Oryctolagus cuniculus: one gene and its partners. The protein of the gene in region 1 purifies or fractionates together with the protein of each later gene. This does not show direct contact. Links are inferred from orthologs where the notes say so. Each region holds a gene or a part of one and is shown in the gene's direction. Other genes may lie near its edges.

Evidence for each region.
Region 2: the proteins of KPNB1 (region 1) and KPNA6 purify together in Homo sapiens (affinity purification with mass spectrometry; 4 studies listed by BioGRID and IntAct, with this or other methods). This does not show direct contact. The link is inferred for Oryctolagus cuniculus from reciprocal best matches to the Homo sapiens genes KPNB1 and KPNA6.
Region 3: the proteins of KPNB1 (region 1) and NUP50 purify together in Homo sapiens (affinity purification with mass spectrometry; 4 studies listed by BioGRID and IntAct, counting the BioPlex papers as one, with this or other methods). This does not show direct contact. The link is inferred for Oryctolagus cuniculus from reciprocal best matches to the Homo sapiens genes KPNB1 and NUP50.
Region 4: the proteins of KPNB1 (region 1) and NUP214 purify together in Homo sapiens (affinity purification with mass spectrometry; 3 studies listed by BioGRID and IntAct, with this or other methods). This does not show direct contact. The link is inferred for Oryctolagus cuniculus from reciprocal best matches to the Homo sapiens genes KPNB1 and NUP214.
Region 5: the proteins of KPNB1 (region 1) and RANGAP1 purify together in Homo sapiens (affinity purification with mass spectrometry; 3 studies listed by BioGRID and IntAct, with this or other methods). This does not show direct contact. The link is inferred for Oryctolagus cuniculus from reciprocal best matches to the Homo sapiens genes KPNB1 and RANGAP1.
Region 6: the proteins of KPNB1 (region 1) and DLGAP5 purify together in Homo sapiens (affinity purification with mass spectrometry; 4 studies listed by BioGRID and IntAct, with this or other methods). This does not show direct contact. The link is inferred for Oryctolagus cuniculus from reciprocal best matches to the Homo sapiens genes KPNB1 and DLGAP5.

Annotation. Positions count from the first base shown.
Region 1 is NC_091448.1:24,002,668-24,007,198, forward strand, and holds part of KPNB1 (importin subunit beta-1), read left to right. Parts: intron 1-1,709; coding exon 1,710-1,934; intron 1,935-3,650; coding exon 3,651-3,842; intron 3,843-4,531.
Region 2 is NC_091438.1:140,292,256-140,296,786, reverse strand, and holds part of KPNA6 (importin subunit alpha-7), read left to right. Parts: intron 1-814; coding exon 815-909; intron 910-2,104; coding exon 2,105-2,236; intron 2,237-3,692; coding exon 3,693-3,781; intron 3,782-4,531. UniProt on the Homo sapiens protein: Functions in nuclear protein import as an adapter protein for nuclear receptor KPNB1. Binds specifically and directly to substrates containing either a simple or bipartite NLS motif.
Region 3 is NC_091442.1:119,924,008-119,928,538, forward strand, and holds part of NUP50 (nuclear pore complex protein Nup50), read left to right. Parts: intron 1-2,703; coding exon 2,704-2,884; intron 2,885-4,451; coding exon 4,452-4,531. UniProt on the Homo sapiens protein: Component of the nuclear pore complex that has a direct role in nuclear protein import. Actively displaces NLSs from importin-alpha, and facilitates disassembly of the importin-alpha:beta-cargo complex and importin recycling.
Region 4 is NC_091432.1:233,685,601-233,690,131, forward strand, and holds part of NUP214 (nuclear pore complex protein Nup214), read left to right. Parts: intron 1-463; coding exon 464-923; intron 924-3,275; coding exon 3,276-3,451; intron 3,452-4,531. UniProt on the Homo sapiens protein: Part of the nuclear pore complex. Has a critical role in nucleocytoplasmic transport.
Region 5 is NC_091442.1:117,338,859-117,344,077, reverse strand, and holds the start of RANGAP1 (ran GTPase-activating protein 1), read left to right. Parts: upstream 1-2,099; 5' UTR 2,100-2,204; coding exon 2,205-2,289; intron 2,290-2,621; coding exon 2,622-2,771; intron 2,772-5,219. UniProt on the Homo sapiens protein: GTPase activator for RAN. Converts cytoplasmic GTP-bound RAN to GDP-bound RAN, which is essential for RAN-mediated nuclear import and export. Mediates dissociation of cargo from nuclear export complexes containing XPO1, RAN and RANBP2 after nuclear export.
Region 6 is NC_091443.1:21,309,558-21,314,824, forward strand, and holds the start of DLGAP5 (disks large-associated protein 5), read left to right. Parts: upstream 1-1,679; 5' UTR 1,680-1,811; intron 1,812-1,965; exon of another isoform or gene 1,966-2,225; intron 2,226-2,227; exon of another isoform or gene 2,228-2,338; intron 2,339-3,268; exon of another isoform or gene 3,269-3,357; intron 3,358-3,450; 5' UTR 3,451-3,451; coding exon 3,452-3,689; intron 3,690-5,267. UniProt on the Homo sapiens protein: Potential cell cycle regulator that may play a role in carcinogenesis of cancer cells. Mitotic phosphoprotein regulated by the ubiquitin-proteasome pathway.

The DNA of each region.
Region 1 (4,531 bases):
CCATAGTTACAGGTGGTGGTGGCTTAACCCGTTGCACCACAATGCCGTCCCCTGTGACTTTGGATTCTAATACAGTCCTTTTTTGTGTGATTTTTGTTTATGAACATTTATTGAATTGTTTTTATTTATTTATTTATTTGAAAGTCAGAGTTACACAGAGAGGAGAGGCAGAGAGAGAGAGAGAGGTCTTCCATCCACTGGTTCATTCCCTAGATGGTTGCAATGGCCAGAGCTGTGTCAACCCGAAGCCAGGAGCTTCTTCTGGTCTCCCATGTGGGTGCAGGGGCCCAAGGACTTGGGCCATCTTCTGCTGCCTTCCCAGGCCATAGCAGAGAGCTGGATTGGAAGTGGCGCAGCTGGGTCTCGAACCAGCGCCCATATGGGATGCTGGTGCTTTAGGCTAGGGCATTACCCTGCTGCACCACAGTACCGGCCCCACATTTATTGAATTGTGACTGTTAATAGCACCTCAGAGGCTGTTTTCATATATTCTTCCCACTTGTGAACCCCCTTGCTTTCTTGACCTTTAATTCCATAGATTAATTTTGGTAGATTTTTGGACCAAAATCATGTACCTTCCGCTTATTTGGTCTGGCTTTTTTTTTTTTTTTTTTTTTTTTTTTTTTTTTTTTTTATTTCAAAGGCAGAGGCAGAGAGATCTTCCATCTGCTGTTTCAATCACAGCTCTGCAATGGTCAGAGCTGTGCCTATGCAAAGCCAGCAGCCAGGAGCTTCTTGCTCTCCCACGAGGGTGCAGGGGCCCAAGCACTTGAGCCATCTTCTGCTTCCCCAGGTCATGGCAGAGAGCTGAATCACAAGTGGAGCAGCCGGGTCTTGAATTGGCATCCATATGGGATGCTGACACTACAGGCTGCAGCTTCACTTGCTGCGCCACAGTGCCAACCCCCTGCTCTAAAGTTTTGTTTATTTGAAAAGGAGAGGGACAGAGGGAGGAGTCTTCTGTTTGCTGGTTCATTCCCCAAATGCCCTCAACAGCTGGAGCTGGACCAGGCTAAAACCAGGAAGCCCAAGTTCTTGGGCCATCATCTGCTGCCTCCCCAAGTGTCTTAGCAGAAATTACATTGGAAATGGAGTTGCTGGGACTTGAATCAGCACTTGACTAATGGGATATACATGTCCCAAATGGCAGCTAAATTTGTACCACAAAGCCCATCCATATACATATTTGAGACTGATGTTTGTTGTATGCAGCCAAAGTTTGTTCATTCTGTTGTTTTGTGTAGTACTAGGTAGAATCTTTCATCTGCATCTTGTATGAAGATTTGTAATTTAGTATTTTTGAAAGGCATTTGAAAGAAATCTTCCATCTGCTGGTTCACTCCCCACATGACCACACCAGCCAGGGGGCGGTGTCAGGCTGAAGCTAGGTGCCCAGACTCCATTTGGGTCTCCCACGTGGATGGCAGGAATCCAAGCAGTTGAGTGGTCTTCCACTGCCTTCCCAGGTGCATTAGCAGAGAGCTGGATCCGAAGTGGTGCAACTGGTAATTGAACTGGCCCTCATGTGGGATACTGCCCATGCAGCTTAACCTGCTACACCACAGCGCTACCCCTTATTTTGTAATGTATCACTGTGGAAGAGATCAAATATAAAGGCTTGGTGTTGTATACTTCCTTGGAGTTTACGTTGGAGTGGTCAGAGAACCTTTTGAATTAAAATCATTCTTAGCACCACGTTCTTTCACCAGGATGAAAATGATGATGATGATGATTGGAACCCCTGCAAAGCAGCAGGGGTGTGCCTCATGCTCCTGGCCACCTGCTGTGAAGATGACATCGTCCCCCACGTCCTTCCCTTCATTAAGGAGCACATCAAGAACCCGGATTGGCGATACCGGGATGCAGCAGTGATGGCTTTCGGCTGTATCTTGGAAGGACCAGAGCCCAATCAGCTCAAACCACTAGTTATACAGGTGAAACTAAAGGAATTTGGGGGTAGAAAGTCAAAGTAGGATTTTTTTTTTAATGGCATAAGTCCTATGACCCAGGAAGTTGGAAATGCAGAAAAGGCCACAAAGTTTCCCCTTAATCCCTCTTGTCCGGGTACCCTCTCAACTTGATATTTATCCTTGCAGCTTTGTTAGATATTGCTTCCAAAACTAATGATGGGATTAATAGTCCATCCTTTGGGCAGAATGGTATCTGTAATAAGGATCTCCTATGGAAGTAGTGTGTTTTTTTGCGTGGTGTAATAGAACTTGGTGCTTTCGGATGTGGCCTGGTGCCGTCCTAACTGCATCCTGGAAGCTGAGCGTTCAGTGCAGCCTGCTGACAGTACCCACACCGCATCAAGTGGAACTGGGGTTTGATAAAGGGAGGAGGACTTTCATAACTCACTCTATTTGTATTAGTTTTGACAGATGTTTCAAGCATGTGTTTTATAAAAGATTTTAGGGATATATATATATATATATATATATATACATTTTTTAATTTGGTAGAGCTATAGAGAGTGAGAGAGAGAGAAAGGTCTTCCTTCCGTTGGTTCACCCCCCCAAATGGCTGCTATGGCTGGAGCTATGCCGATCCGAAGCCAGGAGCCAGGTGCTTCTCCTGGTCTCCCATGCGGGTGCAGGGCCCAAGGACCTGGGCCACCCTCCACTGCCTTCCCGGGCCACAGCAGAGAGCTGGACTGGAAGAGGAGCAGCCGGGACTAGAACCCGGCACCCGTGTGGGATGCTGGCCCTGCAGGCGGAGAATTAGCCAAGTGAGCCACGCGCCAGCCCCAGGGATATTTTGAGTTAAAATCCATTTGTCAGTATTTCCTGTTTTGAAGTAGCAATCAGCATGATTTATTTTTTGTTTGAGAGGCAGAGAGTCCGTGAGCTTCCATCCACTGGTTCGCTCCCCAGATGTCCGCAACAGGCACGTTCCAGGCTGAAGCCGGGAACTGAGAACTCAGTCTAGATCTCCCACGTTGGTGGCAGGGACCTAGGAACTTGAGCCTCCCAGGGTTTGCATTAGAAGGAAGCTGGAATTGGGAGCAAAGCCTGTGCTCAAAATCCAGTGGGCATCAACTGCCAGTGAACAACAGAGTTAACAGAGAAGGAGAGACAGATCTTCATCCACTGGTTCTCTCCCCAGCTGGCTGCAGCAGCCAGAGCTGAACCCTTCCAAAGGCAGGAGCTTCTTCCAGGTCTCCCATGTGGGTACAGGGGCCTGAGCACTTGGGCCATTCTCCACTGCTTTCCCAGGCACATAAGCAGGGAGATAGATGGGAAGTGGAGCAGCCAGGACTTGAACTAGCACCCATATGGAATGTCAGTGTCGCAGATGGCTTTATCTGCTACACCACAGTGATGGAGACAGAGATCTTCATCCATTGGTTCACTCCCCAAATGGCCACAACAGTTGGCTCTGGACCAGGCTGAAGCCATCCTGGGTATAGGGGCCCAAGGAGTTGGGCCATCCTCAACTGCCTTCCCAGGAGCGTTAGCAAGGAGATGGATTAGAAGTGAAGCAGCCAAGACTGAAACCAGTGCCTGTATATGGGAAGCTGGTATTAGGTGGTGGTGACAGCAGCTTAAGTTGTGCCACAAAACTAGCCCCAACTTTATATTTATTGAGAGACAGAGTCAACATGAGTCTTAATCTTTGTTTTGTTTTGCTAATAACTGTTGTATTTGTAGGCTATGCCCACCCTCATAGAATTAATGAAAGACCCAAGTGTAGTTGTTCGAGATACAACTGCGTGGACTGTGGGCAGAATTTGTGAACTGCTTCCTGAAGCTGCCATCAATGATGTCTACTTGGCTCCCCTGCTACAGTGTCTGATTGAGGGCCTCAGTGCTGAACCCAGAGTGGCATCAAATGTGTGCTGGGTAAGGGGTTTTTTCCTGGTGAGAGAAAAGGAGTTTGCCTGAACCATGGCAAGAAAGTGGGAGGTGAGGGGTGAGGGGGAGAAATGGACCTACCTCACTGGAAGACTTTTTTGGAATAGCATCTCCTTTTTGATTTCCTCAGTTAAAGTGCGGGGGAGATGCCACCCACAGGAGCCAGTGGGAGCTGTTGACTCATGGCAACTGGCTCCCGAACGACTTAGAGCAGTCGTAGTAACGCAGCAGAGAAACTCTGTGGAGTTGCTTTTCTTTCTTGAATTGCTTGGGGAGAAGAAATTTTGATTAAGGGTGAGATTTGTTGGCTACAAGAAGCATCATTGCTGAGAAGAGAGAAAGGGAAGGAAGGTAGGCGGCCTAAACGCTGAGTCAGTGTGGGCTGCATGTAATTGATTGGGGCTTTTGAGGGAATGGGAGAGAAGTGCTAATGAGGGAGGAGTGGGGCAGGAGCCTTCCTGTACATGAGAGGTGAGATGGCAGCCCCTGGGGTAGGTGAAGGTTTCTGTTCCCTCGGAATCTCCCCAAGGGGTGGCGCCTGGGCCGCCAGCGGCTGCTTTCCCAGGCGCATTAGCAGGGAGCTGGATCAGAAGTGGAGGAGTCGGGACTTGAAACAGCACTCACTTGGGATGCCAGCATCCCAGGCAGCTGTTTAACTCACCCTGCCACAATGCTGG
Region 2 (4,531 bases), on another chromosome or scaffold:
AACAAGGATAGACAGATCTTCCATCTACTGGTTCATTCCCCAAATTCCCAAAACAACTAAAGCTGGGCTAGACTGAAGCCTGGAGCCAGGAACTCTATGTGGGTCTCCTACATGGGTGGCAGGAACTCAACTGCTTGGGCCGTCATCTGCTACCTTGCAAGCTCATTAGCAGGAAGCTGGATTGGAAACTGAGGCAAGACTCAATGCCAAAACTTTAAAGTGGGATGAGGGCATCCCACATAGGAGCTTAACACACTCCATCACAACAGCCACCCCCTACCTATTCATCTTTGAACTGTATGATATAGTTGGACTACTTAAGGGTAAATCCAGTCCTAATTGAGTTATGTTTTCCTTTCCCTTACTGATAAACAAAGAATGGTAAGGGAGAGAGGATAGCCCAAGGGTTGAATGACACTGGTTTACATATTTCTCTTCTAAGGAAGATTAATTGTCGTTTCTTTGGAGGACTGTGTCATATAGTAGGCAAGAGGTGTTTTTCCCACCATACACCAAATTTTTATAGAACAACTGCCACATACCACAGTTCTAGCTCCTGAGGCTATAGTAAACCATACCAAAAGTCCTAGCCCTCATGAATGGAAAGTCTTTTTTTAATCTCTTTGTCTTTCATATAAATGAATCCTTAAAGAGAAACTGAGCAGGTATTGATAAACCACCTGAACAGAAGGGAGTTTGGGTATGTTTATAATGCTTGTTAGAAGTGTCTAGAAAGAAGCGTGAGCTGATACAAGTGAATAGATGTACCAAAGCCTCTCTTCAGTTTTTATCTCCTTCCATCTCCCTCTTGTAGAGCCTAGTCCTCCAATAGATGAAGTTATCAACACTCCAGGGGTAGTGGATCGGTTTGTGGAGTTTCTGAAGAGGAATGAAAATTGTACATTACAGGTGAGGCCCCAAGGGAAAGAGTTCCCAAATAAAGCCCTTTTCCAAGAAATTGGAATGGGGTATTTCTGCAGATATATCTCTCAGGAGATAGAAAAGTCAGATGAGGAAACATTTCAAGTAAGGCATCAGTTGCCTCAGAGATCTTGACATTATAAAGATATAAAGAAGAGAACAAAATCTCTTCCTTAAAACATTCTCAATAATAACTATGTAGAGTAATGCATTTGTTAATTGGCTAGATTTTTTAAAAATATTTTTATTTATTTTCTTGATAGGTAGAGTTACAGACAGAGGGAGAGACAAAAAGAAAGGTCTTCCATCTGCTGGTTCACTGCCCAAATGACCACAACGTCTGGAACTGGGCCAATCCAAAGCCAGGAGCTTTTTCCAGGTCTCCCAAGCAGGTGCAGAGGCCCAAACCATTAGGCCATCTGCTACTGCTTTCCTAGACCATAGCAGAGAGCTGGAGAACGGAAGAGGAGCAGCAGGGACTAGAACCAGTGCCCATATGGAATGCTGGTGCTGCAGGCAGATGCTTAGTCCACTACACCACAGTGCTGGCCCCGATTGGCTAGATTTAACAATTCCGCCGTCAGTATATATATTGAGTTATGTTTTCCTTTCCCTTACTGATAAAGAATGGTAAGGGAGAGAGGATAGCCCAAGGGGTGAATGACACCGGTTCCCTTCTAAGGAAGATTAATTGTCATTTCTTTGGAGGACTGTGTCATATAGTAGGCAAGAGGTATTTTTCCTACCATACACCAAATTCTTATATGGAAGGTTATCTGTCAGTTTTTATATATGGAAGGTTATCTGTCAATTTTTTTTTGAAAACTCAAAGGAAGATAAGAATATTGCAAACACACCATTCCATTACAAATCAGAGACTCTAATCTACTTCCAAGTCTTCTCATAGGTGGCTGTGACGCTCAGGAAATAAATAAATGACATGATGGGGATCCCGGGGATGCTGTTACAGTACAAAATTTGACCACGGAAGCACCATTCCACCTTCCCGTTGTCATATCACTGCCTCTTCTCACCATTTAAAAGAAGGGAGAGGAAAAGCTTATGTGTTTTGTTGTTTTGTTTTGTTTTTCATGGGCAAGAGGCTTACTGTTCTGAGCCAGCTAGTAAACATGGCTGCACACTGTGGAATGATCTCTCAATGGTGACTTAATCTACCTTTCAGTTTGAAGCTGCCTGGGCTCTGACAAACATTGCCTCTGGAACCTCCCAGCAAACCAAAATTGTCATTGAAGCAGGGGCCGTCCCCATTTTCATAGAGCTGCTTAACTCGGACTTTGAGGATGTACAAGAACAGGTAATACTGATTTGGCTTAGTTCTTCTTTTTAAGGATTTATTTATTTATTTGAGAGGCAGAGTTATAGACAGAACTGTCTTCCATCCACTGATTCACTCCCCAAGTGGCCACGGTGGCAGAGCTGGGCCAATCAGAAGCCAGGAGCCAGAAACTTCTTCCAGGACTCCTGCATGGGTGCAGGGTCCCAAACACTTGGGCCATCTTCCACTGGTTTCCCAGGCCATTAGCAGGGAGCTAGATAGGAAGTGAAACAGCTAGGACTTAACCTGCATTCATGAGATGCTGGTGCCACAGGCAGAGACTTAACCTACAGCGCCTTCCCCTTGGCTTGATTCTTGATGGTAGCTGCAGTATAATACCAACATTTGGTTTTAGTCCCAGTCTTGACACAGTGCTCTTAAAAACATTGGAATTTTCTGAGTTACAGGAATGTCTTTTGCTATTTATAGAGCCCTTTTAGAACACATCTGAGTCTGTATTAACAAAGTGACTCAGTTTGGGGAACCTCGGTAGCCTTTCAGTGGTTGGTCACCAGAAAAATACAAACATAGAATGTGGGAACTCCTGACTGCCTCCCAAGGAAGAGGAGGGATCTGGAGATTGGGTTATAAACTATTGAAGGTGAGAGCCTCTGGGTTAATGAGCGCATTGATGTACTGGGAAGGTGACAGATAACATGGAAGCTGTACACTACCCTCCTCACTTTATACCTTGTCTAATGTGTCTCTTTCATTTGGCTGTTCCACATACAAGTAGTGTTTTCTGAGTTCTCTGTAAGAATCCCCAAATTTCTTTCTAGTCAGTTAAAAGTTTAGGTAGTCTCTGGGACTTGTGATTGGTGTCTGAAGTGGAGGCACAGGTTACGTGGGAGTGATCTGTGGGTCCTTAATCTATGGGATCTGCTTCAACCTCGGGAGTGAGGGTCACATTTAAATTAAAGTATTGAACAAGCAGTCAGTGTCTGAGAATTGGTTGTTGGTATGGGAAAAACTACACACGTGCATTACGTGTCAGAAGTAGGGCGGGAAAGACACTGCACTACCATTTCCCAAAGATTATAGCAATAAAATACAACTTGCATTTCTCTCACTGGATTCTTGGTGATTGTATAGAAGTTGCGAGTCGAAATTACTACATTTACGAGTTGGTCCAAGGCAGCTTCAAGAGTGCAATTTACTGAACTCTGTCTGAGTGGATGGGAACGGGGAGCTCTTTGGCTTCTCAGTCTGTCATACAGCTGGCAGCCGCCTTCCTCACTGAACCAGGGACTCTGAGCATAGAGGTCCTTGAAGAGCAAATGCTCAGTAAGGACTTCAGCAGGGAGGTTACCTGAGCTTGGTTCGTGTGATTTGAGCCTTGACATGGCAGCCTGATGGGGACTCACTCTGTGGTTGTCTATAAAATACTTATGGAAGCCACAGGCGCTGAGGGATTGCTTCATCACTTCCTTTTCAGGCTGTCTGGGCACTGGGAAACATAGCTGGAGACAGCTCTGTTTGCCGGGATTACGTCTTGAACTGTTCCATCCTGAATCCTTTATTAACGTGAGTAATTACAGTCATTTTGTACCTGGGGCACCTGTAGGACGGCCATGTGGCAGGTCATTTGGGGATAGCTTACTTGATCCCTTAAGATGACAAATACAAAGTCTAAAAGTACTTTCCAATTGCTGAAGTAAAAACTAGGTATCTTTTTGAGTAAGAAAGATTGCATCTCAGATCTGTGCCAAGGGGAACCTTGTTCTTCATTTCAAGGCACTTTAGGTCCTCATGTTGGTCATATCAGCCTCCTTTTTGAGCCAAGGGAGAAAGGAAGACTAGTCTAGAAAGACCTAGCCTGTTCTGTAGAGTACATTCATTTCCTACGGGGTTTTGTGTAGGCATGTTGGATAGCTTTGTTACAAATCATAAGTTAAAGACCCTGTAAAGAATCATCTGGAGCCCTCCATCCCTTCCCCCAGCTACGTTTAACTAAAAATGTATGAACTGGTTTTTGTTTGTTTGTTTTTAGCTTTATTTATTTGAAAGGCAAAGTTATATAGAGAGAGGAGAGGCAGAGAAAGAAAGGTCTTCCATCCATTGGTTCACTCCCCAATTGGCTGCGACAGCCGGAGCTGTGCCAATTCGGAACCAGGAGCTTCTTCTGGGTCTCCCACATGGGTGCAGGGGCCCAAGGACTTGGGCCATCCTCCACTGCTTTCCCAAGCCACAGCAGAGAGCTGGATGGGAAGTGGAGTAGCCGGGTCTTGAACCAGCACCCATATGGGATGCTGGCGCTTCAGGCTAGGGTGTTAA
Region 3 (4,531 bases), on another chromosome or scaffold:
CACCCGCAAGGGAGACCAGGAGGAAGCACCTGGCTCCTGGCTTCGGATCGGCGCAGTGCACTGGCCGTAGCAGCCACTTGGGGGGTGAACCAACGGAAAAGGAAGACCTTTTTCTCTGTCTCTCTCACTGTCCACTCTGCCTGTCAAAAAAAAAAAAATTTTTTTTTTACTTATTTGAAAGGCAAAGTTAGAGGGAGAGAGAGAGAGAGAATTTCCCATCTGCTTGTTCACTCCCCTAAAGGGCTGCAACAGCCAGGGCTGAGCCAGGCTGAAGCCAGGAGCTTCTTCGGGTCTCCCACATGGGTGCAGGGGCCTAAGTATTTGGGTTGTCTTCTGCTGCTTTCCCAGGGCACATTTAACAGGAACCTGGATCGAAAGTGGAGCAGCCGGGACTCGAGCTGGCACCCATAGAGGACGCCAGTGCTGCCGGAGCAGCCAGCTTTACCTGCTACGCCACAGCGCGGCCTCGGCTGCTGCATTTGACAGCCTGTCCACGAATCGTTCTTTAAAATGATAGAAATCAGGGGCCGGCGCCGTGGCGCAGTGGTAACACCCTGGCCTGAAGCACTGGCATCCCATATGGGCGCCGGTTCCAGTCCCGGCTGCTCCACTTCCAATCCAGCTCTCTGCTGTGGCCTGTGAAAGCAGTAGAAGATGGCCCAAGTGCTTGGGCCCCTGCACCTGCGTGGGAGACCCGCAAGAAGTTCCTGGCTCCTGGCTTTGGATCGGCACAGCTCTGGCCGTTGCAGCCAGTTGGGGAGTGAGCCAGATGGAAGACCTCTCTCTCTACCTCTCCTCTCTGTAACTATGACTTTCAAATAAATAAACAAACCTTTTTAAAAATGATAGAAATCAATAGTGTATAGATTTGTTTTTTAAAAGATTTGTTTGAAATTCAGAGATCTTCCATCCACTGGTTCACTCCCAGATGGCTGCAGTGGCCGGTGCTGGACCATGCCTAAGCCAAGAGCTTCTTCCAGGTCTCCCCCAGGGTGGCAGGTCTAGACTCTGGGCATTAGCAGGGTGCTGTTTGGGGAGTGAAGCATCTGGGACTTGAATGGCGCCCATACAGGGTGCTGGTGTTGCAGGTGGCAACTTTACCCTCCGCACCAAGACACCGGCCCCAAGAGTTTCAATTTTGAATGAACGTCTGAAATTCTGTAGATGTCACTGAAAGTTGTGTGTGTTTGGAAAGGCACTTAATAATATTTAGACTGGCTCTAGGAAGAGGTTCCAGTTTAACTGAATTTTGGTGAGGTCATGGTTGTAGTTCATTTGTGTGGGAACTTGGGATTTGTGAACTCTCTCAGGTGTTTGGCTTGAGGCAGAGTATCTTCTGTGGTGTAAGTACTACTTTGAATGAAGAAAAGATTTTACAAGAATTGTGCGTCCATGAGCACTGTAACCTGAGGAGCCTGCTCTAGAGAGTCCTGAGCGGCAGCAGCTCGAACTTCATGCGTAACCACAGACGTTCCCAGAACATGTCGGGTTGGAGGTGTGAGCAAGCCTAGTGCAGTAGGAAACCTACCAGAAAGACCAGCAAGAGGGAGAGTGACGTTTCCCTGGCTCGCCCAGTTAGCAGGAATTAGATCTGAGATTTGAGCGTGGTGGAGTTGGCGTGGACTGAAAGCCACTGACATTCTTAGGAGATGCGGTGGAAGGCAGAGTGTGCAGTGTCATCGGGAGACACGGAGGATGGATGGCGGGGTGTGTGGTCTCACTGGGAGGCGGATGGTGGGGTGGGTGGTGGGGTGTGCGGTCTCACTGGGAGGCGATGGTGGGGTGGGTGGTGGGGTGTGTGGTCTCACTGGGAGGCGGATGGTGGGGTGGGTGGTGGGGTGTGCGGTCTCACTGGGAGGCGGATGGGAGGCGGATGGTGGGGTGGGTGGTGGGGTGTGCGGTCTCACTGGGAGGCGGATGGTGGGGTGTGTGGTCTCACTGGGAGGCGGATGGTGGGGTGTGCGGTCTCACTGGGAGGCGCATGGTGGGGTGGGTGGTGGGGTGTGTGGTCTCACTGGGAGGCGGATGGTGGGGTGGGTGGTGGCGTGCGTGGTCTCACTGGGAGGCTGATGGTGGGGTGTGTGGTCTCACTGGGAGGCGGATGGTGGGGTGTGTGGTCTCACTGGGAGGCAGATGGTGGGATAGATGGTGGCGTGCGTGGTCTCACTGGGAGGCGGATGGTGGGGTGGGTGGTGGGGTGTGTGGTCTCACTGGGAGGCGATGGTGGGGTGGGTGGTGGGGTGTGTGGTCTCACTGGGAGGCGGATGGTGGGGTGGATGGTGGCGTGTGTGGTCCCACTGGAAGGCAACGTGGATGGTGGAGTATCGGATCTCATTAGGCAGTCTGCTGCGCCCATGAGAAGTTTCCCATTAGGGGCTGAGCTGTGTCGAGTGTTCTCAGTTACTGATCTGGGTGGTGTGTGCTTGACTCTTTATGTTAGTCTCTTATCTCCTATGTCTTAGATATGCACAGGTAATGGGTTTTTAAGAGTGCCTGTATCCATAAATTCTGAGTGTTTTCCCTAGCTGTTACAGAAATAAAAATAAAATCTTTGTGTCTCATTTCTTGTGGCTGCTTGTGCCAGAAGGTACCCTTCTAATGCAGGACACATACTCAGTCTAAATCCTGTTTAGCCAGGGGAATAGTGTCACTCATTGGGTGATGGTGTAGACTTGCTGACGTGTGCTCCCCTTCCCATTCCAGCCAGATGCTGGAGGGGCCTTTAAAGGATTTAAAGGCTTGGTGGTGCCTTCTGGAGGAGGAGGGTTTTCTGGCTTTGGTGGAGGCCCTGGAGGGAAGCCCCTAGAAGGACTGTCCAATGGAAACAGCACAAGTGCCCCTCCGCTCACCGGCACCAAGACAGCAGAGCCCAAGGCGATCTTTGGTAAGTAGACAGCCCTGTCCCAGCCGTGTCTGTAAATTTGGTCTCTGGAAACAACTTTGCATGCACGTTTTTTTCTTGGACTTACTCTGGTCCTGAGACTAAGCAAAAACAGTAATAATGAAAGGGATACAGCTCAGGGGATATTGGCTACTTAGAGTTATGTGGCTAGAACACAGGCTTTTATTTCAAAGATTGGTTTAATTTGTTTGGAACGCAGAGTAAGAGGGGGAGTCAGCGAGAGTCTTCTGTCCTCTGCTTCACTCCCAAAGGGCTGGACCAGGCTGGAACCAGGTCTCCCACGTGGATGGCAGGGACCCCCGCACTGGGGCCTTCTGCTGCTTTCCCAGGTGCATTAACAGGGTGTGGGTCAGAAGCAGAGCAACAGAACTCAAGTCTGCGTTCTGATTCGGGATGCCGGCCCTGTTTAAAATTTTTCTAAGGCCGGCGCTGTGGCTCACTAGGCTAATCCTCCGCCTTGCGGCGCCGGCACACCGGGTTCTAGTCCCGGTCGGGGCGCCGGATTCTGTCCCGGTTGCCCCTCTTCCAGGCCAGCTCTCTGCTGTGGCCCGGGAGGGCAGTGGAGGATGGCCCAAGTGCTTGGGCCCTGCACCCCACGGGAGACCAGGAGAAGCACCTGGCTCCTGCCTTCGAATCAGCGCGGTGCGCCGGCCGCAGCGCGCCAGCTGTGGCGGCCATTGGAGGTGAACCAGCGGCAAAAGGAAGACCTTTCTCTCTGTCTCTCTTTCTCACTGTCCACTCTGCCTGTCAAAAAAAAATTTTTTTTTTCTAAGATTTATTTATTAACTTGAAAGAGATCTTCCATCAGCTGGTTCATTCCCCAAATGCTTGCAACAGCTGGAGATGGGCCAGGCCAAAGCCAGTCTCCTGCATGGGTGGTAGGTGACCGAAGAACTCGGGCCGTCAGCCTCTGCCTCCAGGAAGCTGGGTCAGCAGGTGGAGAGCTGGGGCTCAACCAGGCACTGCGGTACGAGATGCAGGAGTCCCCGGGGCGCGTGGCGGCCGTGCCGACGCCCTCCGCCCCATCCTGTTGTGAGGAAGTTAGTTGAGGTCTCTCGGGGTTAGCAGCAGAGAATGCGCGTCGTAGGTTAAATGTTACAGGGATCCTGACTGGCCGAATTCAGGTTAGTTGTATTCCGAGCAGTGTACCGTTAGATTTAAGCAGCATGTTTAGTGTGATTTTGAAACAGCATTTTCTGTTAATATGTTAATATATAATTAATGTATAAATGCTGCCTTAGTGTGTCTCAACAACTTTTAGAGCTTGTATTTTATGCTGTTCTAACAGTGGCTTGAGACTAGGTCTGCTTGTTGGAGGAGAAGATCGTTACAACCAAGAGGCATCATTCTGCCGTGCAGTGGATGCCGTGCTGCCGTAAAGTGGTTTGCTTTATGACCATCAGTTCATACTGCTGCTTTTTGAACATGTATTTCTTGCATTATTGCAAAAATTGACAAAAATAGAAAGTAGGAAGACAGCATAGCATAAAGTCCAGATGGTTTAATTAAATCCCTTCAAAATAAATTCTTCAAACTTTAATTTCCGTAGGTTCTGTGACTGCAAATGGCCCTACTGCCTTGCTGGATAAGAAGATCGCAAATCCCAAAACGAATGGCGACAGCCCGCAG
Region 4 (4,531 bases), on another chromosome or scaffold:
CTTGGAACTCCATCCAAGCCTCCCATGTGGGTAGCAGGGTCCCGAGGGATCCAAGCAGTTGGGCCATCTTCCACTGGTTTTTGAGGAATGTTAGCAGGGAGCTGGCACAGCCAGGACTTGAACTAGTGCTCAAATGATGCTGGTGTGGTAGCTTATCCCACTGCACCACAGCGCCAGCCCTGAGTCTCTGTTTTCAGAAAGTGGAGTTTCATTTGGGTCTCCCACATGGGTGGCAGGGCCCCAGCACCTGGCCCATCTCCTCTGCTTTTCCCAGGCCATTAGTAGGGAGAAGGATGGGAAGTGGAGCAGCCAGGACTCAAACCAGTGCTCATAGAGGATACAGATGTCCCAGGCGGTGGCCTTACCTGCTGTGCTACAACACTGGCTCCCGCAAACCCTTTTTCACTAGCTTTCTGTTGCATGGCCTTCCGGTGTTAACATTTTCTCCTTTTTTTCTTTGCAGGAAGCACTCCTACCACCCCAACCTCCTCTCAAGCCCCACAAAAAGTGGATGCCTCAGCAGTTACAACCCCTGCTTCCCTTCCAGCTGCGTCGCCTGCTGCTCCCATCACCACCTTCCATTTGCCTCCTGCTAGTGGGGCCCCTGCCGTGTTCTCCTTTGGTTCTGCATCCTTAAAATTTGCTGCTGCTGCTCCATTTCCCAGTGGCCCTGAGAACCCCAAAGCAACGTTGGGTTCAGGCGTCTCCACCTTCTCTTTCACTCCTCCTTCCAAAACCTCACTAGCCCCCACCCCTGCAGCTTCCCCCATAGCCCCATCTGCTGTTTCATTCTCCTTTGGATCATCGAGTTTTAAGCCTACCCTGGAAAGTACCCCGATGCCGAGTGTGTCTGCTCCAAATGTAGAAATAAAGCCCTCCTTCGCACCCTCAGCATCTGCAGTCAAGACCAACCTTAGTGAAAAGTAAGTCATTTTTCAAGTTTGATTGTTCTGAAGGATGGATAGAAATACTGCATATTATTAGCTGGAAGTAGAGTCACTATGATTGGAGTTACTAGTTGGAGTTACTTTTCTTTCCAAAGGAATTTCCTGCAGATGGTAAAAATCAAACCAACCTAAAGGCTTTGCAGCTCATCAGTGGATCTAGTCCTAACGGGTATTAGATAACATTTGTCTATTTTCAAAAGGCGGAGTGACAGTGGGAGACAGAGAAATCTTCCATCCACTGGTTTACCCTCCAAATGTCCCCAACACTGGGACAGACAGGCCGAAGCCAGGAACCCTATCCGCGTCTCCCGTGAGGACAGGAGGACCCAAATGTTTGGTCCATCATCTGCTGCCTCCTCGGTGCGTTAGTAGGAAGTTGGATTAGGAAGTGTGGTACTCTGGGGCCAGCACTGTGGCGTAGTGGGCAGAGCCACTGCCTGCATCCCTGGCATCCCATATGGGCACCAGCCAGTTTAAGTCCTGGCTGCTTCACTTCCGATCCAGCTCCCTACTAATGTGCCTGGGAAAGCAGGAGAAGGTGGCCCAAATCCTTGGGCCCATGCACCCATAGGGGAGACCAGGAAGGAGCTTCTGGCTTTGACCTGGCCCAGTCCTAGCCATTGTGTCCATTTGGAGAGTGAACCAGAGGGTGAAAGATCTCTTGACTCTCCCTCTCACTCTGTAATTCTGTCTTTCAAATAAATAAAAAATATATCTTTGGGGAAAAAGGAAGGACAGCACTCTGTTGATCTGTGGCATCCTATGAGGCAGCTTAACCTGCTTAAGCATAAAGCCTGCTCCCAGCATGTTAATTTTTTTATTTCTGTGGAGTGATATTTAAATACTTGTTTTGCTCTTTTAGATTACAAAGGAAGTATTTTTTCTTTTTGAAAAATGAACATTTCAGTGTATACATCTTGGAAGGGAAATTAATCCCTCATGTCCACCCTGGACTCTAAACTGTTCTCTGTGCAGCCACCAAAGTGAGCTTGAGAAACTGTGAAGACAGTAGGTGACTGCCCAACCCAGCAGTCCCCGGGGCTTCTGAATGTAGTCCAAGCTCTAGCGTGGTATTCAAGTTCCTACAGGCCTAGGTCCTGCCTGCTCACCTCTTCCCCGCTCCCCCCCGCCCCCTCTCCCTCTCCCTCTCCCTCTCCCTCCCTCTCCCTCCCTCTCCCTCCCTCTCCCTCCCTCTCCCTCCCTCTCCCTCCCTCTCCCACTTCCCTGCTCCCCTCCCTCCCTCCCTCCCTCCCTCCCTCCCTCCCTCTCCCCCCCCCATTCTCCCCACTAGAATGTGAGCTTCTTGAGGGAAGCAGTTGCTCACATCTATCCCTCTTCCCTAGAGAACCTGCTCTCCCTTGCTCTCTCTTGTTGCTTTAGTGAGGTGCTGTGGTGTCCATTGTTAATGTTAGATCAGTATATAACTACTTCATTCTAAAGGTTGCATAGTGCTTCTTTTTGTTGGCTGTACTGTTTATTTGACCAGTCGTCTAATTCCGGGTATTTGGATTGTTTGCAGATGTGTTCTGTCAGTAGAACTGACTTTACGTTCCCACTAGACCCCAAGCATTGCAGACATGATGACCTGCTTTCCCCGTCTACTTTCAGTCCCCAGAGGAGATGATCACCCCTAAAATGAATTCTTAGTAGTTTCTTTGGTAAAAGAGAAGTAGTAAACTCCTCTAAGCATAGCTAAGTCACACCCCCCCCCCCCACTTTTTTACTCCGCCTCATAGAATAGAAACTAAGCAGTTGATGTGATGATAAATTTAATTTCATCTACAAGTTACTTGATGTCTTGGTTGTTCTTAAGTAAGCAGACAATAACAGAAATGTTTCCTTCTAACTAATTTAATAAGAAGTAGTTTATTTTTTTAAAAGATTGATTTATTTATTTGAAAGAGTTACACGTAGAGAGAAGGAGAGACAAAGAGGTCTTCCATCCTCTGGTTCACTACCCAGTTGGCCACAATGGCTGGAGCTGTGCCAACCCGGAGCCAGGAGCCAGGAGCTTCTGGGCCTCCCACGCGGGTGCAGGAGCCCAAAGACCTGGGCCATCTTCCACTGCTTCCCAGGCCATAGCAGAGAGCTGGGTTGGAAATAGAGCAGCCGGTTCTCAAACCGGTGCCCATATGGGATGCCAGCACTGTAGGCAGCGGCATTACCCACTATGCCACAGCACCAGCCCCATAAGAAATAGTTAAAACATTTATGTTTGGTGAAGGCAATAAAGTATGGAGAGGAAGTTACCCTGTGGTAACACTGCTTGCGAGCAGTGTGAAAGATCTGTAGCAGGCTCTTCTGATGCATTCCGGTTACCGTTTTCAGATTTACTGCCTTGGCTACCTCTGCTCCTGTTAATAGCTCCCAGAGCACACCCTCGATGTTGCCGTTCTCTTCCACCTCGAAGCCAGCTGCTTCCGGACCTCTCAGCCTCCCTGCGCCTCTCTCAGCATCATCTGCTTGCTTGTCAGTGAAGCCCTCGGCGTCTCCCTCCCCGTCAGGTATGATTGAAGTCAGCAGCTTCAGGCCTGAGCCCTGCCTCCTCAGAGGAACAGTGCGCAGTGCTCTCAAGAGTCCTGGCTAACGTAGCTGCACGATAGCCGGGCACGATTCTCTCCGGCTCCCGTGTCTCATCCTCAAATGCTGTGACGTGCATGCTGTGAACCGGGAGGTTGGCAGTGCATCACCGCTGCCGGCTGCTTTCTCATGCCTCTCCTGCAGCTCAGGGATTCAAAGCAAGCGTCTTGCTGTTTGACGTTTCTCTTCATGTGGAAGATAAAGTCTGTGTTGTGTTGCTGTAACAGAATACCTGGCACGGGGTGATTCACAGGACCAGAGATTGGGTTAACTTACAGTTCTGGAGACTAGAGAGCATGATGCCAGCAGCGGCCGGGCCGTGGTGAGGGCCCCTGGGTACATCTCAAAATGGCAGAGAAGCGGCAAGGACTCGAGAGTGTAGAGTGGTCCTGCGTTCTAATAACCCGCTCTCTTGAGAACTAGCTAATTTCAGGAGACCAGCATTAATTCCTCCCGAGGGTGGAGCACCCATGAACCAATTACCTTTCCCCAGGCTCTGCCTCTTAAAGGTTCTATCCCCTAACACCATTACACTACACTGGGGACCGCGCTTCCAGCACATGGACCTTTAGGAGACAGACCACATCCAGGCCATCGCAGGGAGGTACAGGTGCACAGAGAGAAAGGGCCTGCACAGACTCTTGAGCTTACTGCTCAGTCAACCCTACCGTGAGCAGAAGCTTCAGAAAGATCATGAATGGGAATGATTATAGGCAGCTTGCATTCAAGTGTCTTGTACAATTCATGGATGCGTGTCCTTGTTCTTTTCCTTTTGGACCTACAGGGAAGTTGCGGAAGTTGTCAGATGCCTTTCACTGAGGTTCAGCACTTGATAACAGTTTGCTCCGTTTGCTGTATCTTTTTTAATGTAAATTTTTTCCTGAAACATTTAGTTGCAGACATCTTGAAATGTTTTGCTCCTAAATACAAGTACATATCTATTAAAAAGGGCACATAGGACGTTACCAGACTCAAGAAATTAAACCCAGTCTGTTACAATAGTC
Region 5 (5,219 bases), on another chromosome or scaffold:
TTGGAGGGCCGGGTGGCGCTGACTCCTTTCTGCAGCGGGTAAACTGAGGCCTAGGGCGCGCGTGCGGGCCGCGCAGCGCCGCGTCGCGTCGGTGCCGGCCGAGGCGGGCGGGTCCCCGCGCGGCGCGCCTGCCCTCGGCCGCCTCCCGCCGGCCCACGCCCGCGTGGATGCGCGCCTCCAGGCGTCTCGGCCCTGCTGCCGGGAAGCGAGAGGGCGGTTCTGGACTCAGTCCCTGTGCCGACCTTGGGCAGGTCGGTTCGGTGTTTTGATCTTTAAAGTGGACTGGGGGTGGGAGGGGGCGGCTTGTGCCTCGTGCCTTCCTCCCTCCCCACCTGGACCGAGGGTCGTCCCCTTACCCCCCGAGAAGTTCCGTGTCCCGTCTGGACGCCCCCGCCGTTAGTTTATTCAGTTTTGTCCCGTCATTTCTTGAGCGTCGGCGGGCCCTAGGCAGCTGTCAAAGCGCTGGTCCGGTCGGGTCTCTGCTGGAGACCCTCCAGGAGGTCCTCGGGCCCCTTGGAGGGAAAGCCACGATGCTTAGAGCCCTTGGTTAACTCTCCCCTCCTCTCCTCTCCTGCTTCCATCTGTCTGCTCCCTTTGTGGGAATGCTCCAATATGCTGGGCCTCTTCCCCGACAGCCTTCAAATGGTTATTGTTTCTTACCTGATACCTTTCTAATTGAAGTTGCAACTGTCAGAGCCCCCCTCCCCCTTATTTATTTTTATTCCAGTCTGACATACTAAGTATCCTGTTTAGAACATAGCTTCTTTTTGTATCAGTTACTGCTGTGTTCCTGGAACCGTGAACAGTATCCAGTATCCAGTAGTAGTCAAGACAGTGGAAGTTCTGTGTGGTGAATGACTGGTTGTCTTACCTAGAGAAGTAATTCAGGCTTACTGATGAACACAGTGCATGCAGACGAGGGGTTAGATAAGGAGAGGGGGTAGGAAGCTGGTTATTTGAATCCAGAGGAAGACTGGGGTGGAGGTCACAACCGAATCTGAGAAGGAGATGGGGGGAGGCCTTGCGGATAGCACCCCGAGTTCTCGCCTCCATGTCACTCTTCTGAGGTCCCCAGACTACCTGCCCTTTCTTCTCTGGGGAAGTGCAGTGGACCACTGTACCAGTCTGTGATTGTGCAAAATATAAATTGGACCTTCAACCTAACGTCCTAAATTGACAAGCGTCTATGTAGTTTTTAAGTTTGTTTATTTGAAAGAGAAAGAGATCTCTTCAGTCTGCTGGTTTACTCTCCAAACACCTGCAAGAGCCAGGAACCCAAATACTTGGGCCAAAACCTGCTGCCTCTCAGGGTGCACACGAGCAGGAGGCTGGGTTGGAAGCAGAGGCAAGACTCGATCCCAACCAAACACAGGATGTGGCGGTGGTCCTGTAGCCTTTTGTATGCCCAGAAAACTGCCTGGGGGATCCTGGGTGGCTTCAGGAGGGTGCAGGTCACCTGAGAGACCCAGGCAGGATTAGGGTTGAGCCCCACCCCCAACCTCTGGGAAGTGGGTTTAGCTGGTCACCAATGGCCAGTGATTTAATCAGTCGTGCCTGTGCTGTGGGGCCTCCATGAAACCCAGAGGGCAGCCTTTGGAGAGCTGCTGGGGAGCTGTGCAGGTAGAGGGTGGTCCCGGCAGGAAGGCACTGGCAAGCGAGGGTGTGGAACTCTGCCCCCTTCTCCTGTGCCTTGTTCCGTGTATCTCTTCATCAGGCTGATCATTTGTATCCTTTTTATCTTCTCTGAACTGGTAAGCATAGGTGAGTGTAGCCCTTGTTTGAGAGTCTGTCTGGTGGAACCTATTTCACAGCCACCCAGTCAGAAGTGCAGGTAAAGCTACCGGGGGCTTGCATTAGCATCAGGTGGGGAGCAGTGTCGCAGGTGTCTCCAGATAGTGTCAGAACTGAGTGGGAGCAAACCTAGCCGACATCTGTGGTAAAATGTGATTGGGTGCTCTGTGGGGAGGAACCCCTGCCCATCTGGTGTCAGGATAATGTTGGAGAAACTTGAGTTTGCTGTTTCTGTACATTGGCCTATTGTGATGGTAGCTGTTGTGATGTAGGGTCCTCTGGTTTCCTAGGAACCTGGGAGGCCTCCGTGGCTTGCCCAGTCTCCTGGTCAGGGCTACAGCCAGAGGTGCAGTGGGCTGACCCCTGTGCCCCACCCCTAGTCATGCCAGCGTGGGTGGTGGGCATTCCCTGGGATGGATGACCTGGATCCCATAGACATCCATGTCCTGTTTGGGGACTGGGACCCTCAGACACAGAGCAGCCAGGATGATCAGGCAGGTGTGTGCTTGGGTGGACCCTGTGGACTTGGCTCCCATGGGGTTGGTTTTGTGGGTGTCCCCGGTATGGGGTGGGGGCAGTTGGCAGAGGAGGGAGTTAGGGAGCTGCTGACCCTCCAGGCTGACGCTGGACATTTCTGCTTTCCTGCTGCCTCCACCTTTCTGGAACCGTGCCTTCTCTAATGCTGTTTTCATTCCTCCCAGTGGTTTACCTCTTAGGTTCCCCGTGGCAGGGGCCAGTGGGGTCAGGAGGTGGCTGATGCCCCTTCCTGTCCCTCCCCAACCAGGCTCCCAGGAGATCCCTCTTCTTTAATGCCACTTGGGGCTTCTCAGTTTGCAGATCTCCGGGGGAGCCTGCCACTTTGGCCCTCATGGCCTCTGAAGACATCGCCAAACTAGCAGAGACCCTGGCCAAAACCCAGGTGGCCGGAGGACAGCTGAGTTTCAAGGGCAAGAGTCTCAAACTCAACACTGCAGAGGATGGTGAGTTCCTGCGCTGCTTGTGCGGCGAGCGCTTACTAACTGTGGGCCCTTTGAGCCGCACTGTCTCCTTTATTTGTCCAAGTAGCCCGGGCGGTGTTACTGGACCTACCTAGTCTAGTGGGAGGCTGTTAGTTCATTTCCCCAGGAGCATGGGAAGGCTTCCTGGCCACAATGAGCAGCTTCAGAGCCAACAGCCTTAACTTCCCTGGCTTCACTCCTGAGGTCGTAGGCATGGCAGGGAATATCTGCCGTGGGGGGAGGCAGGGCGAAGGCCCTTGGGGGGCAGAATTAAAACAATAGTCTCGACCCTCCTGGGAGGTTCTGGTCCCTGCCGCTAGATGCCCCTGGGAGAGGGATGGGTGCTGCTGCTGCTGCTCTGTGTGTGTGTGTGTGTGTGTGTGTTTGTGTGTATGTGTGCAAGAAAGCACCAGACTCCAGAGAACCAGTAACTGGAATGCAGGTCCTATCTTTCCATCTCTGGCCAAGTCTGCTGGCATGACCAACCCAGAGTCCCCTGGTGTCGGCAGTGAAGGCACCTGTGTCTGTACTTCTGCGATCTCTTGTTCTGGTGCAACCAGGGAAACTGGTCTGGAGTTGCCTGGTTATCCTGGTGTGTAGGCAGCCTTGCTTCCCTGCCCCGGGCCAGAGACCTTGGCTTGCTGGGAGTGTAGTGATGCATACTGCTCACATCTCTACGGGGCTGTATGGTTTCCACAGTTCTTTCTATACTTTATTTTTAAGATTTATTGATTTTAAAGAGTTACAGAGAGAGAGGTCTTCCATCTGCTGGCTCACTCCCCAGATGGCCGCAACAGCCAGGACTGGGCCAGGAAGAAGCCAGATGTTTCATCCAGGTCTCCCATGTGGGTGGCAGGGACCCAAGCACTTGGGCCATCTTCTGTTGCTTTTCCCAGGCTATTAGCAGGTAGCTGGATCGGAGCTGGAACAGCTGGGACACAACTCGTGTCTGCCGGAATACCAGCATGGTAGGCGGTGACTAAGCCACACTGCCAGCCCCCTCCCTGTGCTTTCATCACTGATAATCCTCCCATCATCCCCGTGGGAGGCAGGTGGAAATATTGCCTTTTTATAAATGAAGAAAAAGGACTTAGGAGGCCTTGGTAGCCTGCCGGAGATCCCGCGTCTCGTCAGTAGCAGAGCCAGGATTTAATGGGGTCCTGTGGAATCCCTGTGCCTGTGCTGCTCTTTCTGGCAGTTCACAGATTGTTTATTCATGCCACAAGGTGAACGGGCCCCAAACGAGTGTACAGTGACCTTCTGCATTGCCACCTAACTTAAAGTGCTTAGATTCCTTACCTACGCTCCCTGCAAAGCTGGCTAATGATGACTGAGCAGGGGCAGGACTGGAACCTTCCAAAGCTATGCTGCTTTTATCATGATGGAGCTCATCAACCCCGTTCCTACCCAGCTGTCCTGGTAACCCGGGTAGAGTAGGGCTTCATGGGGGTCCAGGCATTCTTAGTAACACTCAGAAGCGTCTCAGCACAGACAGTGTCTCAGGCCATGCCAGTGCCCCCAGCTGATGACTCAGACAGGTCTGAGTAGACACAGTTCAGTCAGGAAGCACGGATTTGCTATGAAATGTCATCTATTGAACACCATGTCAGGCTAGGAGTAAGTGCCATGCCAGTAGTATCTCAGTTTCCTGTCAGAATTCCTTGGTAGAAGTTTTATCCCTGTTTCGCACATGGGAAAATTGAGGCTCAAGGAGGTGGTGATAACTTCCCAGGAGCACAGCTGTGGGTAGAGGAACTGGGGACAGAACGCAGGTATACCTGCTTCTGGTGTCTGCACGGGCTAGAGAGCATCACTCACTGATCACCAGGTCTGTAGATAGTGAGGTCTGGACTAGGGCACTGCTGGGAGCCAAGAACGCCATCTGGGTCTTCCACCTGGCTGGCAGGGGCCCAAGCACTTGGTTTGTCATCCGCTGCCTTCCCAGGCCATTAGCAGGGAGCTGGATCAGAAGTGGAGCAGCCGGGACTTGAACTGGTGCTCCAGTATGGGAATCTGTGTCTCAGGTTGCAGCTTCACTCACTGCTACAATGCCAGCCCCAACTTGTATGCTTTTGTTTAGATTATAAAATTAATATGGGACCAGCGCTGTGGAGTAGTGGGTAAGGCCACTGCCTGCAGTGCCAGCATCCCATATGGATGCCAGTTCAGGTCCCAGCTGCTCCTCTTCTGATCCAGTTCTCTACTATGGCCTGGGAAAGCAGTGGAGGATGGCCTAAGCCCTTGGGCCCCTGTGCCTGCGTGGGAGACCTGGAGGAGGCTCCTGGTTCCTGGCTTCGGTTTGGAGTGCAGATCCGGCCGTTGGGGCTATTTGGGGAGTAAACCAGCGGCTGGAGGATGTCTCTCTGCCTCTGCCTCTCTGTGACTCTGCCTTTCAAATAAATAAATAAATCTTTATGAAAAATTAATATG
Region 6 (5,267 bases), on another chromosome or scaffold:
CGATCCAGCTCTCAGCTATGGCCCTGGAAAGCAGTAGAAGATGGCCCAAGTCCTTGGGCCCCTGCACCAGCATGAGAGATCTGGAAGAAGATCCTGGCTCCTGGCTTCCTATCTGCCCAGCTCTGACCATTGTGGCCATCTGGGGAGTGAACCAGTGGATGGAAGACCTCTCTCTCTGCCTCTGCCTTTCTGTCACTCTGCCTTTCAAATAAATACATAAATCTTTAAAAAAAAAAAACATAGGCAAAACATTGAAAAAATGTTTCACAAAACAAGACAATAAAGTTAACAAGCACATGAAAAGATGCTCACCCTCAGTCACTGGGAAACTTGCAAAATTAAAATAGACATCATTTCACGCCCATTAGAAAGGTTCAAGTCTGACTAACAACCGGAAATGTTGGAAAGTATGTGCAACAACTGTAACCCTTATACACGGATGGTGGCAGTGCAAAGTGGTACAACCATTTTGGAAAACAGCTAGGGAATTTATTATAAACATAACCAGAATGACCTAGAAATTCCACACCTGTATTTATGACAAAATACGCCTGCAAAAATACTTGTACAAAAATATTTAGAACAACTTCAATAGCCCCGATGTGGAAGCCACCCAAATGTCCATTAGTATGTGAATGAATATTCAATGAGAATACTTCTCAATAAAAACTGCTGAGTTAATCCCAAATACATTATGCTGAGAAGGAAGGCAGTCCCTAGTACCTTCATGCTTTTAGATAGAGAATTTTTACTTAAAATATTTATTTGTGCGACTGCGCCTCTTCACTCCCCCCAAACGCTCAAGCCAGAGCCAGGGAACTCCATCCGGGTCTCTCCAGTGGGTGTCAGGGACCCCACTACTTGAGGCACCGCCGATGCCTCCCAGGGTGCGCATTAGCAGAAAGCTGGATTGGAGGAGCTGGGGTTCGAACATGCGATGCAGGGGTCGCAGCCCCTAGACCGATGGCCACCCCACTGCCCTCACCGTTATGGTGACAAAGTCAGGAGTGGTGGCGGCAGCGCGGGCAAGCGGACCGGACCGGGAGTGCGGGCGCTTCGCCGGCAGAGGACACACCCTGAGGACGTGCTGGGGACACGGCTGCACCTCGATCAAAACTCGTACAATGGTCAACACACACACACACACGATGTTTTTCACTGAAGCTTTTCTGCTTCCACAAAAAAACTGACAAGAAAAAAAGGCGCGCCGGCGACGCTGACTGGCAGGCAGGCGAACTCTGCTGGGGTAAGCCTAGACCATTTAGCAGTCCAACAAGCTCGGCCGCATTTTTGAGAGTAAACAGGGACTTCAAAAAGCCCTGCAAATGCTGGACCCGGGAGGCGGCGGGCCCCACGTCCCTTCCGGTAGAACCCGCGCGTCGCCGCGCGCCTCAGCGGCGGATTCCCACAGTCCGCACCCAGCGCGGCCTCACCTCGAGCCGCTCGGAGCCCCGCCACCGCACCCGCCGCCCAGCCTCAGAGCCTCCACACTTCCCGCCCCGCTTCGGCCCGCGCCGCGGCCCCACCTATTGCTCCCCTCACTCCCATCCTTGGAACCGTCCCTTTAGCTGTCAATCAATTCAAACATCTCACGGTGCGAACCAATCGCAAGCCTCTGTGAGGGGAAGGGGCGGGCGCCTTTCCCGGAAGTATTGGTTAAAGTCCCTCCAATCAGAAGCTCGGTGCGGGAAGTTTGAATTTTGCCGAGGCTCGGATAGGAAGGTGTTCCTGCTTCAGGGAAGACCGAAGTCGTGCAGGCCGAGTGGGTCCCTTTTCCTCTGGCGGAGGCTTCACACGAGAAGGGCCCTCAGGTCAGTGAGTACTGTGGGGCCGGGGTGGGGACGACGCTCGCCGGCTTCCGGTGAGTTCTAGAAGGGTCCGAGGACGCTCGCGCGAAGGCCCCCGGAGGACGGCGGTACCTGGCGCGCCGGATGACGTGATCCCGGCATAGTGAATGTTTGTTGCCTGGGTGGCGTCATTGGCCTCTGGGGTGGTGGGGCAGGTCTTCCCCGCGCGGGGTCTTCAGCGTCCCGGATCCCGGTGTTCCGTCCAGTCGCCCTGCCGGGTCCTGTGACGGCTGACAGGGTCCCGGCGGAGACCCCGCCGGCAGGCAGGACTAACGCCTTCTGGACTTTGGGGCTGCAGCCGCTCCGACAGCCTCAGACGCGCGTGAGGAGCCCGGCTGCCTGGCTTGCGGCCGCCGCCTGGAAGTCATGCGAATGCGGGTGGTTAATTTCCTTCAGCTGGGCCAGGGCGGTGATGGGAACTGCCTTTAGGGTTGTTGTGATGAGTGTGCCTGTATTCCCTCCCTCCGTGTCTCCGTCTTCTCTTGCTATGGGTAGTGCTTTTCTGTGTTTTAAGATAATACGTGCCTTGTAGGTTTTTTTTTTTTTTTAATATTTAGCGAATTAGTACTTGCACAAGGAGACAAATCATAGACTTCGTTTTTTCTTTAAAGTAGTAGAAAATTCTTGATGAAAAACACGGTCCATTATCACTTCTCCTGGGTTCTTAAGAATGTTATTAAGCATCCCACTCAGATTCTCATTTCTTATACTCTGTTGATGCTTACAGTAATGTTAAATTGTAACTTAATTGCATTTCTTGTGCCAGTTTTTCTTTTACTTGAGGTTTTCCAGTGGGCTTTGGCTAATTTTGTTGAAAAATATAGTGTGCCTGTGATACTGTTGAATACAGTATCAGCATTGCATTGAATTAGTCACCCACTGCAGAGCCGATTGATTGCTTGCTTTGGGGGGGACCCTCCCTACTTTGAGTGTGGAACAATATGGAGAATCAGCCCTCTTTGTCCAGTTTAGCTTGGTAGTGCTCTATACCAGCACATAGGTGACCCCTCCAACTCTCCTCTTTTCTTTAACCTTCTCAGTTGGGCCCACTGTCTGTTAGAACTCATGACATCATGTTTAGTGTCCTTCTCCCTTGTTTTGTTTGAGTATGTTCTCAAGGATCTTTCTAAGAAAAGATATGTGCCGAGTAAACAATATGATTTCTTGTATGGATGAAGACAGTAGGACAAACTAATGGAATTATCCTTCTGTATCACCATGGAAATTTTTTTCCTGAAAATCTTTCTCTTTTTTTAATCTTAAATATCCAGTTGTCTGTCTATGCATGTCTTATAGGCATCTCATATAGTGTTTTGTTTTTTTTTTTTTTTCCCTGAGAAATGTTAGGCTGCCTACATTCATCCCAGGGGAAGGTTATGGAAACTTTTGTATACAAACCTAACATTTCCTTTCCCTCTTCCCAGTTGCACTTTGTACTCTTCTTTCTGCAGTGCGTTCTGCGGTAAGCCCAGAGCTGCTTGTCTGAATTTTTATTTCAGGAGGCTCTCAGGTGGGACAGGATTTGAACTGGACTCTTTAATTTTTTTAAATAATAAAATGAAAATTCATGTAAGTTGGCTTCTATTTCCCTTTTCCCTGACAGGATGTCTTCGTCACATTTTGCCATTCGACACAGAAAAGATTTAAGCACTGAAATGATTAGAACTAAAATTGCTCATAGGAAATCACTGTCTCAGAAAGAAAACAGACATAAGGAATACGAACGAAATCGACATTTTGGTTTGAAAGATGTCAACATTCCAAACTGGGAAGGTAGAATTCTCGTTGAATTAGATGAGTCATCTCAAGCGCTTGTTCCAGAAAAGGCCAGTGCCAAGCCAAGTAAGTAAAGGTCTGTTGTGATTTTCAGTACTTTGAGGAGTGGAGTAAGCGTGGTTTAATGCCTGTGAGTAAAAGCAAAACGAAAACAAATCCTGGCCAGATGAATGAGGTTTTGAAATGTCATTGTAACTTGATATCCTCTACAACTAAATATATAGTCAACCCTCCATTTTTGAGACCTTTCTCCCAGAGAAGGGTTTTTGTTTCTGTATAGTCAACGAACCGTGGATTGAAAATGTTAAAATAGAATTGCATCATTATTGAACATGTACAGATTTTTTTTCTTGTCATTCTCTAAACAGTACAACTGTAGCATAGCATTTACATTGTCCTAGGTTCATAAGTAATCTAGAGGTGATTTAAAGTATATAGGAAAATGTATATAGGTTACAGGCAAATATTATGCCATTTTCTATCCATTGGAGCCTTGGAACAATCCCTTATGGAAGCTGAGAGATCACTGGACAATTTATTTAAGAGAAGGGCTGTGAAGGTCCCTAGCTAGATTGTGGAGTGTTGCGGAGTATTGTAGACTTCATCATTTATACTGTCTTACAGTAATTGTAAAGTTCTTCTGGGAGTTTGGGTAAGATAAGTGTTGAAAGATAAATTGATAAGAAACAAAATAGAATGATTAAAGAACCCATGAGGAAGAATACTTTGCCAGTGGAAATTAGAGAAAAGTAGAAAGAATTCATATTCACAGTTTGTCCAAAAGGATTTAGGGCCATTAGGAAGGAAACGATCAACTAAAGAAAAGAATCAACTTAGAAAAAGATACAGATAGCATCTCAAAAGGCAAAGGATGGAAGTTTCTTAGACAGAAATGAGGTGTTAAGTTAATTGTTCACAGCTTTAGTTTTTATCATTTCCTAGGATCAGTGTAAAATGTGACACACGTAAGATTCTAAATGTCTTCAAGCTAAATGACTACGTCAAAAATGGGATTGGACTGAAAAAAGCCAGATTTGTCATTTTTGTGATTCTGGGAAAAGAAAGAATCAGACAAAAGTGTGTTTTTGTTTTTGCCTCTACTCTTGTCCTCTCAAATCTAACCATGTCAGTATGCTATTAAAATATCCCTTATGTCCTGCCTACAAAGGATGAGATGGAAGTGGGCCTACTATGTTCCATAGAAGACAAGTAGGTAACCAGGGCTAGAGAAGAATGAGTCAAGATAGGAAGCTAAATCCTAGACAGCCCTGGGGACCATCATTTCAATGACATTGGCTTTTTCTTTTTTTTAAAGATTGATTTATTTATTTGAAAAACAGAGTTACAGAAAGGCAGAGGCAGAGAGAGAAGTCTTCTATCTGATGGTTCACTCTGCAAATGGCCATAATGGCCGGAGCTACACCTATCCGAAGCCAGGAGCCAGGAACTTCTTTGGGTCTCCCACACAGGCTCAGGGACCCAAGGACTTGGGCCATCTTACGTTGCCCTCCCAGGCCATAGCAGAGTGCTGGACTGGAAGTGGAATAGCTGGGACTCGAACTGGTGCCCATATGGGATGCCGGCATTGCAGGTGGTGGCTTTACCTGATACCAGCCCCAGGATGTTGGCTTTTATGCTGAAGAA